Linked DNA regions of Canis lupus familiaris. The protein of the gene in region 3 interacts with the protein of the main gene of each other region in a biochemical or structural test. Links are inferred from orthologs where the notes say so. Each region holds a gene or a part of one and is shown on either strand. Other genes may lie near its edges. The genes, in order: PPP1R11, PPP1R7 and UBXN2B.

What was found.
Region 1: the proteins of UBXN2B (region 3) and PPP1R11 form a complex in vitro, tested with the Homo sapiens proteins (2 studies listed by BioGRID). The link is inferred for Canis lupus familiaris from reciprocal best matches to the Homo sapiens genes UBXN2B and PPP1R11.
Region 2: the proteins of UBXN2B (region 3) and PPP1R7 form a complex in vitro, tested with the Homo sapiens proteins (2 studies listed by BioGRID). The link is inferred for Canis lupus familiaris from reciprocal best matches to the Homo sapiens genes UBXN2B and PPP1R7.

Annotation. Positions count from the first base shown.
Region 1 is NC_049256.1:27,782,130-27,786,349, reverse strand, and holds PPP1R11 (E3 ubiquitin-protein ligase PPP1R11), read right to left. Parts: upstream 2,876-4,220; 5' UTR 2,646-2,875; coding exon 2,577-2,645; intron 2,395-2,576; exon of another isoform or gene 2,286-2,394; coding exon of another isoform or gene 2,265-2,285; intron 1,755-2,264; coding exon 1,646-1,754; intron 1,274-1,645; coding exon 1,071-1,273; 3' UTR 37-1,070; downstream 1-36. UniProt on the Homo sapiens protein: Atypical E3 ubiquitin-protein ligase which ubiquitinates TLR2 at 'Lys-754' leading to its degradation by the proteasome.
Region 2 is NC_049246.1:51,237,854-51,242,045, reverse strand, and holds the start of PPP1R7 (protein phosphatase 1 regulatory subunit 7), read right to left. Parts: upstream 2,816-4,192; 5' UTR 2,713-2,815; coding exon 2,661-2,712; intron 705-2,660; exon of another isoform or gene 643-704; intron 228-642; coding exon 87-227; intron 1-86. UniProt on the Homo sapiens protein: Regulatory subunit of protein phosphatase 1.
Region 3 is NC_049250.1:9,730,796-9,734,386, forward strand, and holds part of UBXN2B (UBX domain-containing protein 2B), read left to right. Parts: intron 1-302; coding exon 303-386; intron 387-1,192; coding exon 1,193-1,302; intron 1,303-3,591. UniProt on the Homo sapiens protein: Adapter protein required for Golgi and endoplasmic reticulum biogenesis. Involved in Golgi and endoplasmic reticulum maintenance during interphase and in their reassembly at the end of mitosis.

The DNA.
Region 1 (4,220 bases), on a different chromosome or scaffold from region 3:
TTCCACATATGTATAAATGGGCCCATATTAAACACGTTTTGTGATGTTGGGTTATTTATTTTGTGCATCTGTGGCAATAAATGAGATCTCAGTGGTGGTATGGATTTGACTCATCTCTGCAACTGTGCATGGCACAGAGGCCTAGAAAATGTCAAGATCCCAGTAAGGAGTGGGAAGGGCAGAGAGCTGGACATCTGGGCTTTGGAAGGCAGGAGGATGAGGGTACTGTCTGGGACATGCCCCTTCTCTGTGCTCCCTGCATTTTCTTTCCTCTCTCAGGGACCCAGGGCCCTGGGACTGTGTAGGATTGGTCTCTGATGCCAGAAGACGGAGGAGATTGTTGGCTCTAAGTGACCAGTCTTCAAGTGTTGGCAATCCTTTATCTTATGAGAAGGGTGAGAAGAGGCCATACCTGTTTCCTTTTACATCTCCCATTAAAGATGAGAAAGCACAGACCTCTCTCCCTCAGCTCCTCTGGAGGGCATGAGGGAGGAGGACAGGAGAGGGGAAGGGTCGGGAGCTTGCCGGGAGCCCTCAGGTCTCCTGGGAGACCTTGGATCCCACAGGTAAGGACGAGGACTTCGGGTGATATAAATATGTAACTGGAAGAACTCTGAGCCAGGATTAACAGGCATAGCTGGGGAACACTGCCCCCAATCTGACAGGGACCCTGGCAGTGAAAGCCGGGGCAGCTGAAAACCCCATTTCAGCGTTTGGGACTCCAGGAAAGAATGCAAGGGGCCACACACGATAATTGGATCCTAGGACAGGTAGTTTGGCAGTGAGAACGAAGGGGAGAGACGAGGACCGTGACGCCTGAATCCCTGGAGAGCAGAGGATGAATACTGGAAGGAGAAACGAGGGCTGGGGGAACCCAAAAGTCTGGGCTCTGGAATAGCAGCAAGTTAGAATTCCAGGATCTCTGTGGACCCTCCTATCTTCCCTCCGTCAGGCAGAGGAGCAGGGAGAAGGGCTGGAGAGGGATCAAACCATGTGGGTTTAGTCCCCAGGTAGCCACATGAATACAGTCAGGGCCAGACAAACACAGGAGTGGTGGGGGAGAGAGGAATTTAGTGCTGCATTGGCCCTGGAGGGGGCTGGGAGGGGTCAGGAGGCTGCGGAGGGCTGGTGGGGCTTGGTCCTGGGGTTGTACGACGCTGTCCTTTGCGGTGGCCCCGAACACAGTGTGTATGACCACAGCCTTCCTCTTCCTCCTCATCACTCTCAGTGGAGCTCTCGCCAAAGGCCCGAGGTTTCTCGTAAATACAGCAACCTGGATTCGGAGGGAGGAGGCCAGGAAAGGAGCACCAGTTAACATATAATCAGTTGTACTCCTATTGGGTGTCAGCACTGGCTCCTTCTCCTTCCAGGGTCCAGCTTCTCTAGCCCCGCTGCCCCTGGGGCTCAGGCACACAAACCTGCCAATCCCAGGCACTTCCATGTCTCCCCTATAACCTTAATCCATGTCCCCGAAGCCAGAGAACCACCCAGGCTGTGACAAGGCTGTTAGCAGCTGGGGGCCTCAGGGTGGTCAGGTGTGAGAAGGAAGGCCAAGAGGGGTGGGGGCACAGAGGAGGCACCTGGGCTCCCCCACCCAGAGCTGGGTGGTGGGGTGGGGATGGGCAGCAGGGCAGTGAGCACTCACATTTGGATGAGCGGCGCCCCATGTGCTCATTGTCCACAGTGTCACTCGTCCATTCTACCTTCTTCTCTGGCTTCCGTTTCCGCAGTTTGATGGTCAGGCTCCGGTTCTCCTGGAAGGTGGGGAAAGACAGACATAGCCATCTGGTCCCCTCTGGCCGTCCCTTCCTCATCCCTCCCTGGGGGGTCATGTCTCCCAGCACCCCCCACCCCAGTCCATCAGGCCCCACCCAGGGTGGCAGAGGGGCCCGGCGCAGGTGGGGTAGCGCACAAGTGTGTGACCTCCGGGTCCCTGGGGAATTCTGCCGCTTCATATTCTGTGTCCATCCCAGCTTCGTGGACAGAGAAAACACAACTAACCTAGGAGGGTCCCCGCACATCTTCCAGGGAAAGCTCAACCCTCTCCGTCTCTCCATCCTCCTCCCCACATCGGCCTCGGTGTGACTAATGCTCGAGGAGGATTTTCTCAGCGCCCAGGACCTAACCTTCACCTGCGGCTCACTGTGAGGATCCCCGGACCCTCCCGGGCTTGCGCCCGCACCCGTGCACCCAGCCCCCGCCCCGGTCCTGCCAGGGCCCTCAACAAGGCGTGCAGCCCAGCGCACTCCGGTCCCGAGCTGCACCTCTTCGGACTCCCACATCATGCCCTGGTGTCCTCGAGGGGCGCTCACGGGCGGCCGTCCGTCAGGTGCTTCCCGACCCAGGGGGCGCCCCGGGGTCCCCCGCCCCGACTCTGAGCCTGTGGTGCGCCTTCTGCAACGGAACCACCGCTGGGCCCTGCCCCCGGGGTCCCCCTAGGCTCCCGCGCCAGCTCCGAGTCCCCAGCACGCCCCCCCCCCCCGCCCGCCCCCTCCGCAGCCCTGACCCCGCCCCGCCCCCGCCCCCGGCCCGTCCCCGTCCCCGCCGCGGGCGCCACCGTCCCCCGCCTTTCTCACGGGCTCAGTTGTCACGGTAACGGTGGTCTCCGTGACGGTCTCACTCAGCCCGGCTCCTGCCTCGGCCATGGCTGAGGCTGCGGAGAGGGCAGAGGGCGGCGGGGCAGGAAGCGGCCTTCCCGGTGTCTCCGAGCTCTAAGACGACCGGACCGGGATCGGGATCGGGATCGGATTCGGAGGAGCAGCCAGGACCCTCCAGCGCCTCGGCCCCTCCTCCTCGGCCTCCGCTTCCCCCCGGGGTAACCTGCCCAGCTCCACTTCCGGCTCGCCGCTTCCGGGTGTGACGCACTCCGCCGTCGCCGTCCCTTCCTGGCGCCGAAGGTCTCCGGACGCATGCGCCGCCGGACTAGTTCTCCCGTCACGTGACGGTGAGCAGGTGCCGCAGCCCGCAGAGAAGGCGACGCTGCGGGGAGCGGACGTTGCGCAGGCGCGGCCCGAGACCCGGCGGGAGCGCGGTCCCCGAGGGCCGCGGGGGCGGGGCGCAGGTCCCTGGCTGGGCGCAGGGTATGGGATGCGGTTACCCAGGTGCGTGGTGCGGGCGCCGGGACCCCCGCCGCGCGGCGCCTGGTCCCGGACTGGAGCACCGGCCCCGGAGCTCCAGCAGGTGCAAGCGCCAGGTCAGGGCTGGGCTCCCTTAGGCGCCGCCGGGAATCCCCCTCCCCCTCCTCGGCCTCCCGCAGTCCTCTGGGGGCCTCGTGGGTGTAGGAATAACGTGCGGGCTCTGAGATGCTGACGTGAGCGAGGCTGCGGGGCGTGGCGGTGAAATCCGCTACCGAGTGGCCCGCAAGAGCTACCGACAGCAGAGGCCGAGCTGCGGTCCACGGAGCACCTGCCTTTTTGTCGGGCAGAGATGGCCAAAGGGGCCTGGTTGGCAGGTGCGGGTGAGGCCAGGTGCGTGCTGCAGGCATGAGGTTCTGCAGGGAAAGCTTGGGGAGCCTGCACCAGCCGCGGCGGGAGGGGTGAGGGCCGCCGCCGGCGGTGGCATCCGGCAGCAACCGGGGAGGAGACTCTGGACGATGCCTGTTAACAGAAGTGGTCAGGGAAGTCCGCCCTGCCCGTCCCATCAGTTCCCACTACGTCGCCCGGGGCTCAGACACCTCAGGGAAAGTCTCAGAGCTCAGAACACACAAAGGACCGGGCAGTGTGCAAGCCAAGGAATGCAAAAATTGACTCCAAACTAAGTTTGAATGTTTATTGTGGCCGGACTACAAAATTTCGTTCAATGTGATAAAAAGCAAGATACAACTTGTATTCGTAGTAAAGCCCATTTAAAAAAAAAAAAAAAAGTATCTCTCTGAAGTAGGATTCCTTGTCATTTTTTACTCTACCTTTCCATATATGAATTTATCACAATGAATATACATTTATGTCAACAGCAATAAAAAAATACAATTTTCAAAATGTCCAATGTGTTCAGCATATACTGGTAAACCTTAGTATCAGACTTCTCCTTGTTCCAGCTCACACGTCAGACACATCTGGTTACGTTATCTGCTTATCTCCCAGCATCTGGGCTCCTGCTTTGTTTCCCTAAACTCAGGAACCAAATACATTTAGTCATGGAATACTTGTAATTACTTAAAAAAAAAAAAAAGATTTATTTATTTATGTGAGAGACAGAAATAGAGGCAGAGACATAGGCAG
Region 2 (4,192 bases), on a different chromosome or scaffold from region 3:
ACCACCCAAGGCGGTGGGGTGGGGCAGAGCAGATCATGCACCACACGGCTGCACCCTCCCCCCTTAGAGAGTTGAAGGCTCTTAACTGGGCCTGGTACCTTCTGGGTCCTCTTCTCCCTGCTCCTCTCCATCCTTCAGGCTCTGCTCACTGAGGTCGGCCACTATACCGCTGCTCTGCTTCTTCCCTTCCTCATCGCCAGATTCTTCAGACTCGACCCGCCTGTCAACTGAGCCCACACACATCCGTAAGAATTCACAGCCACTTTACGTGACTCCCCGAGGAACATTTAACAGACGGACATCCAGCTGTAAGTCAAAAAGACTTCATTGAAAAACATCGGTTGAAGTCAGCTCGACAAACATTTGAGTGTCTTCCGCGTCTTGGGCGCCACCTGAGGTGCACGGTGCTGGGGACAATTTGTGTGTGGGAGGGCAGAGCGGGAAGGACACGCGGGTACTGAGATGAGCAGCTACTATTCCTGCCCTCGAGGACACTGTGAAGCATTACCAGGTGTTCTGAAAGCCCTGGGTCATTTGTGACCAGGTACTAATGGGTGACACACAGTGAACGCCTCCTGTGCGGCTTGCTTTTGGCCTGGATGTCCACGTAGAGGGGACCAGTGTGACCCTTCCACCACATACCTTCATCCACGCTCCACTATCCATTTGGCCAAGAAAACCAGCCCAGTTCACAGGCCCACGTTCTGAAAGAAATCAAGACTAACTCAAATCAGACTGTGGGCAGAGGGGGGGGCTGTAATGAAAAAGGCGAAGACAGCCAGTAGCGCCAAACGCCCCACATAAAGGTCACCGATGCCAAACATCAGCACACAGTGATACCAGCTAACTGCTTTGAAAGGCTGGTAAATAAGTACTTTCTGAATTGATAGATAAGGCAATGACTAAACGTGGCAGACTGGCAAAATTTCTTTGCTAAGACCGTCAAATAATCTTCCCTTCTCCAGACTTTTTTCATCGTCTCCATTGGCAGTCTGTCTCAAAGAGCTGAAACAGGAATAAATCCCTGGGAGTCCTCAATCATCCTTGCTACGCCTCGTCCACAAAGGGGTGCACTCTTTGGGGGAAAAGTAGTTTTACTTCTTCTCTGTACCTCCTCCTGGGCCGAGAAAAGCGCGCCTGGGAAGCGACTGCTGGATAAAACCAAGTCCTTATGAACTCCGCCTCCCAAACCGCCAAATCCATTGCTTCTGCCCCCCTCTGGCGACTGCCTGGGCTCCCTCCTGGCCTCCTAACTGGTCTCTCTGTGGCTTTTTTTTGGGCTTTGTCTCATCTATTCTGCATTCCCAGAGCATCTGATGCGATTCTAACATCCGAATCTGAGCTCTGACTCTACAGGTTTCTGGAATGCCGGGGGCTCCTGCTGAAGATTTCACGTTGCCCTTAGAGACCCGGTGCCAACAGGCTGTTGGCTTTCCCAAGCCTCGCTCTCTGCATCTGTAACCAGGGGGCTGGGACAGGCCCCACAGACCAGAGGTGCTGTCCGGACTAACGCAGAAAAGCCTCCGGGGCAGTCGGCATGTGCATGACCCGCACTAAACACTCGGCAGTTAGCTGCTACCACGCACGGGGCACTCTGTGGCCGAGGCTAAGGGAGGGCGCCTTCCACTGGGCATAGTGTGGCTGTGCCCAGGGCGGCAGGGACTCCGCCTGACGACGGGAGGCCAAAGTGCAACGCGGGACCACCCTGCAGGCAGCAGACGGTCCGCAGCTGGGGCAGCGGATCCAATTATGGTGCAGTTTCGGGATCCCGGGAGCAAGGGGCTGGCCCACAGCATGGGCAGTGGGAACGGAGGAGGCACTGAAGACCTGGAGATGCCAGGACGTGCTAGGGAGCTTGCTGGGTAACGGGATGGGTGGGGACGGCCGGGCCGGGCCGGGGACGGAATCACTTGGCTTTTGCACGTGCCATTCACCCAGACTCCGAAAGGGCGACGTGCGGCGGACGGAGCGAGGGCTGTCTCCTGGCTGCCAAACACCCAGCCCCTCGCGGGGCCGCCCCGGCCTTCCCCTGCCGCCCTCCTCCGACCGGGCGGTCACTCTTGGCCGCTTCCCTCCACGGTCCTTGCCTCCGTCCTCCCCCGGCCCCGTGTGCAGGTGCCCGGGCCCCCCCTTCCTCCCGGCACTTGGCGCCCGGGTGAGGGGCTGCCCCGACCGGGACCCCCGCCCAGGCCGCCGACGCGGGCACCACGTGCGGATCATTATTATTTTTTTCCAACGGAGCTAAAGGGTCGGATTTAGCGTCTTGGGGCCAGAGGGCCCGGGCCGCTCGGCTCCCGCCCAGCCCTTCCCTCCGCGCCGCCGCGCGCCTCAGTTTCCCCAGGAGCTGCCGGGCTCGGAGGTTCGGGGCGCGGCGCCCGCCAGCAGCACGCCCGGCGTACCCGGCCCCGCCGCCCGTCCGCGCCCCGCCGCCCGCGCCCTCCCGGCCGCTGCAGCCTCTGCCGGGTCCCCGGGGCCGGGGCCGCCCCTGCCCCTGCCCCTGCCCCTGCCCCCGAGCCGGCAGCTGTCAGCGCGCGCGGCGGGGCCCGAGCCGGAGCGGCAGCCGCAGCCCGGACGGCCCGCTTCTCTCAGGCGAGGCCGCTGCGGGCCGCCGCCCCCCGCCCGCCCGGGCCCTCGGGCCGCCGCCCCGCGGAGCCGCTCACCCTCCATCATCTCCTGCGACTGTTGCTGGCCCGCGCCGCGTTCCGCCGCCATGTTGGCTGCTCTTCCCCTTTCCGGAATCTGTGGCCTCAGGCCCCTCGGCCAATCAGGGCTCCCGGCTCGGCGCCAGCTCAGCCAATGGGCTCCCACGCCAGGCTTGAACCCCGACGCGCTTGCGCGGCCCCAGTGTCTCATGGGAATTGTAGTTCACGGGGCAGGCCATGAGGGCCCCCGCCGCGGGAGCAGCCCGCCTCACCTCCCCGGGACAGGTAGTCTGAGCGCGCACCGCAGGCGTCCGGAGGCGTCCGGAGGCGAGCAGCGGGGAGGAGCAAGACGCACGGGACCGTGGCTGCAGGCAAGCGGAGGGAAGCGCCTGGGAGATGCTGGGGGCGCGCGGGCTCGTGCAGGGTCTCCGCGTGGGGCTGCACCGTGCGGGTCCCCCGAGTGCGTGCCGGCCCCTCCGGGCTCCGCCGCTGCGTCTGCACCGCGGCTGACTTCGTCCCGACGTCGCTGCGCGGACTCAGTCCGTGAGCGGCGGCTGCCTCCGGTTAACGCTCCGCGCAGGGCGCCCGCGCTGGAGCCGGGGTCGGAGCCGGGGCCGCCCGCCGGCGGGGGGGCGCCCGTCGGGGTCCGGGACGTCGCCCATCGTTGCGGGCCGCAGCCTCCGCCGGCCCCGCCGCTGAGGGAGCCTCCCCGCGCCCCCCGCCTCCCGGGCTGCAGACGGGGAGCCCCGCGCCGCTCACCCTTCCGGATTCGGAGACCAGAGCTGCCGAGTTGGTCAGACCCGGTGGGCGGGGGCGCCGTCTCTTTTGGCTCCTCCGGGGCGCCGTAAGGGGAGACCGGTGCGTCCCTAGCAACCGTTAGCGCGGGCTTCTGGGCGCCGGCTCGCGGAGTCCCGCCCACAGGCGCTACTGGTTGGCTCGCGGCGCCTGTCCATCGACGCGAGTCGTTCTGCGATTGGCCGGTGCGGCCGATCAGCCCCTCCCCGCGCGGCGAGGCGAATTTGGCGGCTTGGCCCAGGCGGGCCGCAGGTGAGATGGATGCCTGCCCCGGGGGAGGCGGCCGGCGGACGAGCCCGGGAGCCCCGCGCCCCCCGCGTCCCCTCCGTGCGGCTCCGCCCGGGGGGGCCCGCTGCCACCTTGCGGCCGTTTGCGGTGCCCTGGCCCGGGACCCGGGGCGACCCGCGTGTGTGGGGGAGGCCGGTGTGTGTGTGTGTGTGTGTGTGTGTGTGTGTGTGTGTGTGTAGGGGGAGGGGGCCCGGGGAGACCCGCGTGTGTGTGTGTGGGGGGGGGGGCCCGGGGAGAACGAGGGTGTGTGTAGGGGTGCCCGGGGCCCGGCCGCGCCCGCGCACAGTCCGCCCGGAGCTGGCAGCCTGCGTTCTCTAGGCGTCCTTGCCCCGTCTCCTGCGGGAAGGCGCGTCCCGTGGCAGGCCCCCCCGCCCCGCGGCTCCCCCGCCTCTGGCTCCCCCTCCCGCTCCCCCCAACGCGCTCTCCCGCTGCCCCCCCCCGCTCTCCACCACCCCCAGCTCTCCCCC
Region 3 (3,591 bases):
AATCTGTTTATACTTGAAAATATATATTTCAGTACATAAATGTATTTTTTAAGTTAAGATTGGCCTAAATTATTTCAACTTCTGAGTCACTAATGTTTTATGGGAAGAAATATAATTTCTTACTTAAGTATATACCTCTCAGTAACATAAAACCTTCATTTTAATATAAAATTTTCCTGGAAAGTATAAACTGGTTTGGCTAATTATAGCTGATCTAGTTTTGAAATATATATCGCACATTACCATAACATTTTTCCTGATAAACCATAGTGAATTTTTAGCTCATTTGCTATGTATTTTAGTCATTTACAGGTGGAGGATACAGATTGGGTAATTCCTTTTGTAAGCGGTCTGAATACATCTATGGAGAAAATCAACTGCAAGATGTAGGTACAGTAACCAAAATGAAAAGTTGCAGATATTTGCCTCTAGTGACTACTGTTTTTAAAGTTAAAAATTGGTAATATGAATATAATTTCTGTTATTTTTGAAACCTGGATTTTAAGACTAATGTGTAAGCTTTTAGTCTCAAATTTTATATTGTGTCTCAATTATGCCTTGTACTTAGATGGTAAATATTTTCTATATGTTGAAAAAAGATAGGATTCATTGTCAAAATGAGCTTTATATACATACAGTAATTATTATAAATAGTATAATGTCATTAATAGAGAATTAGCTAGGTTATAAACAGGGAAATCCCTAAAGTCATTATTTGGATTTGGCTTTTAAAATTTGGAGTTATAATTTCATTTAAACATGTGTACTTTAGCCCTATAGGGTCACTGAAAGTTCTGTCTTGCCCCTTGACATAAATATTTAAGCCCTGTGCAGCAGACAAGAATATAGGTACAGATGACGGAGAAAAGCGGATGTGGAGTAACAGCTGGACACTCTAATCGCTTTCATTTTCTCAGTGACCCAGACTAATTGTACATCAAGGCCAGGATCTAGCTGTGAGACCTTTGGCATTTCAGCCATTGTCACTTTGTTAAGTTACATACAAATCTGCCAAGCAAATACTCATGCGTTCATTTACATCTTTAACAGTAACTAAAGAATAGAATGAATAACTCCATATTTGAAATAAAGTAGGTGGTTTAATATGTTGTGAAACCGCATTTGAAGCTTAAAATTATTTGATGCAAATGGATTCTTGTATTTCTTTTATCTTTTTTCCTATGTTCAAAAGGTTCAGATTTTGCTTAAACTATGGAGTAATGGTTTCAGTTTAGATGACGGAGAACTGAGACCTTATAATGACCCACCAAATGCTCAATTTCTGGAGTCTGTTAAAAGAGGGTAAGATATATTTACCTGTATTCTATTTGTTACTGAGGGTGGAACTTTTTTATTTTTAAGGTACTAGAATATATTATGTAAATAGGGGGAAGGGTATTTTTAAGTATCTAAAAGGATATATTGCTATCCATAAGTCTCTGGTTCTTAATTTGGTGGGAAGGGGCAATAGACATTGGTCACTTTCAAGATGTGGTCAAGCTGTGGTCCCCGTTCCAAGAAGAAACATCTCAATATAATAAATCAGTACAATTGATTAGCCTGTAGCTGCCCATCCTACTAAGCCACTGTCCTGCTTACTGTTAACAGGATGGCTCTCATTGCATGTTTGCCTGAAATTCAGCAACTTATATTAGAAATCTTTTAAAGTGGCATTTCTGCTGGTAGAAGATTTAAAAAGTTAGTTTGAAGTTACAATTTGTGAAAGTAAACCAGATATACAGTGCTCTGACCGATCTAAAGAATATCATAGCTCACTAAGCTCTTGCTAAAGGATGAAGAATCAAGTGATTTTGCTATGATTATAAAAGCTTTTCTGCATCATTCTTTCACTGGCTGACAATGTGATCATTCCTAAATAGAAATACAACCAAGCACAAAAGGTTGGTGATGAACTAGGAGATTTAAGTCACAGTGAAGAGACTAAGTAGGAGGTTATACTCCATTCAGGAATTAAAGGTGGGGCTTTTCCAAGTGATACAAATATGTCCAAGGAGAGTGGCTGAAGTGGAGTGGAGGTGAAACTCACTGGCATAGAGGGAGTCAAGGACCTCTAAAGGAACGATATCTTTAGAACACTAGCATGAAATTTGAATTTGAATTCTACAAAATAATGTCAGGACACCAAAAAATGGCAAGAAATACTGTAAACAGTATGCCAAAGTCATTGAGAAAGGTGGGGAGCTGTCCAAGGAGGTAGTATATAGTGGTGATAAATACAAGGAAATAATAATTTGAGTCAGTGCTGTGGACATGGAAACCTGAAGTCACTAGAAAGAGCTAGGAACGTGTAAGTAAGGGAATGTTCATCTGCTAAGGGAAGATCAACATTGTTGTTGAAATTGATGCTTATTTCAAAGATGTTGGAAGATAACATACTGATGATGAATGTACTATAATGTAGATCAAAACTCATTTATTCTTAATTGAAAATAAGCCAAAAACTTCGTGGGCTAACGTTCAAGCAGTCATGATGTCCTAAAAGAGGGTATTTTTTTTTTTTTAATCATGTCCTGAAGTACAAATTATGATCAACAACAGTTTTAGAAAAGAGTCCTTGAAGACATGACTGATGTCAGATAGTGGTTGTCAACTATTAAATCGCTGTCTTCTATTTTGTAATACTGTCTTCACTGTCCTCAAAGAATGACTCCATAGATAATATAATCTGTCCCTACATATTATTTCCCCCAAAAGATATAATATTTATCTTAAATATATTGAAATAAAATATCATAAAATTGTATATATTTCAGTTTATAAATGCTTTTATTTGACCACACCAGAAGACATAATAAAAGTAGTCAGATAGTTTGCACCTATGTGCAGTCTAGCACTTCTCAAGAAAATGTGACAAACATAAAAACAGAATAATGAAGTATGTGCGGTTGGCAGCATAATTACTAGCAGTGGCTTTGTAGTCAGGGACTTGATAAAGTTCCAAACAAAACACAGTCTTCTCTTGGTTTATATGGTACAGGTATTCCTGAAAATTTCAAAGTGTATTAATACAATGCTCCCCCCACCAAAAGAAAGTCCTTTTTTCTTCTTTGTAAGACAGACCTTAAGCTTTAAGTTTTAGGCTCAGACACTACAGTGTCCTCATTCATGCAAATCTCTAGCAGGGCATTCAGTGGTTCTGTGGGACCCAAGACAAGACTTGATTAGGCAAGATGAATCCCTATAGAAGAGTGCATCTCGTATCTGGATCCTGACCCTGAACAACAGCAGTCACGAACCACATAACAATCAAATACATCAATTTTTAAAACTTCTTCCAAAGATTTTAGAAATAAATATCTTCATTAACTATTATGTCTTCATAGGAATTTTCTAGTGCTTATTTAGGTATAAATTACTGTCTTGCAATTTGGGTTTCTAAATGTTAGAAGCACTCCAAGATCACTGTGACAACAAAAAGTCCCTATATTGAGAATCACTGGGAATGAGGTGATGCAACTTGTTTTAAAATTTTAATTCCAGTATAGTTAACATACAGTGTTATATTCATTTCAGGTATACAATATAGTGATTCAATAATTCTGTATATCACCCAGTGCTCATCAGGACAAC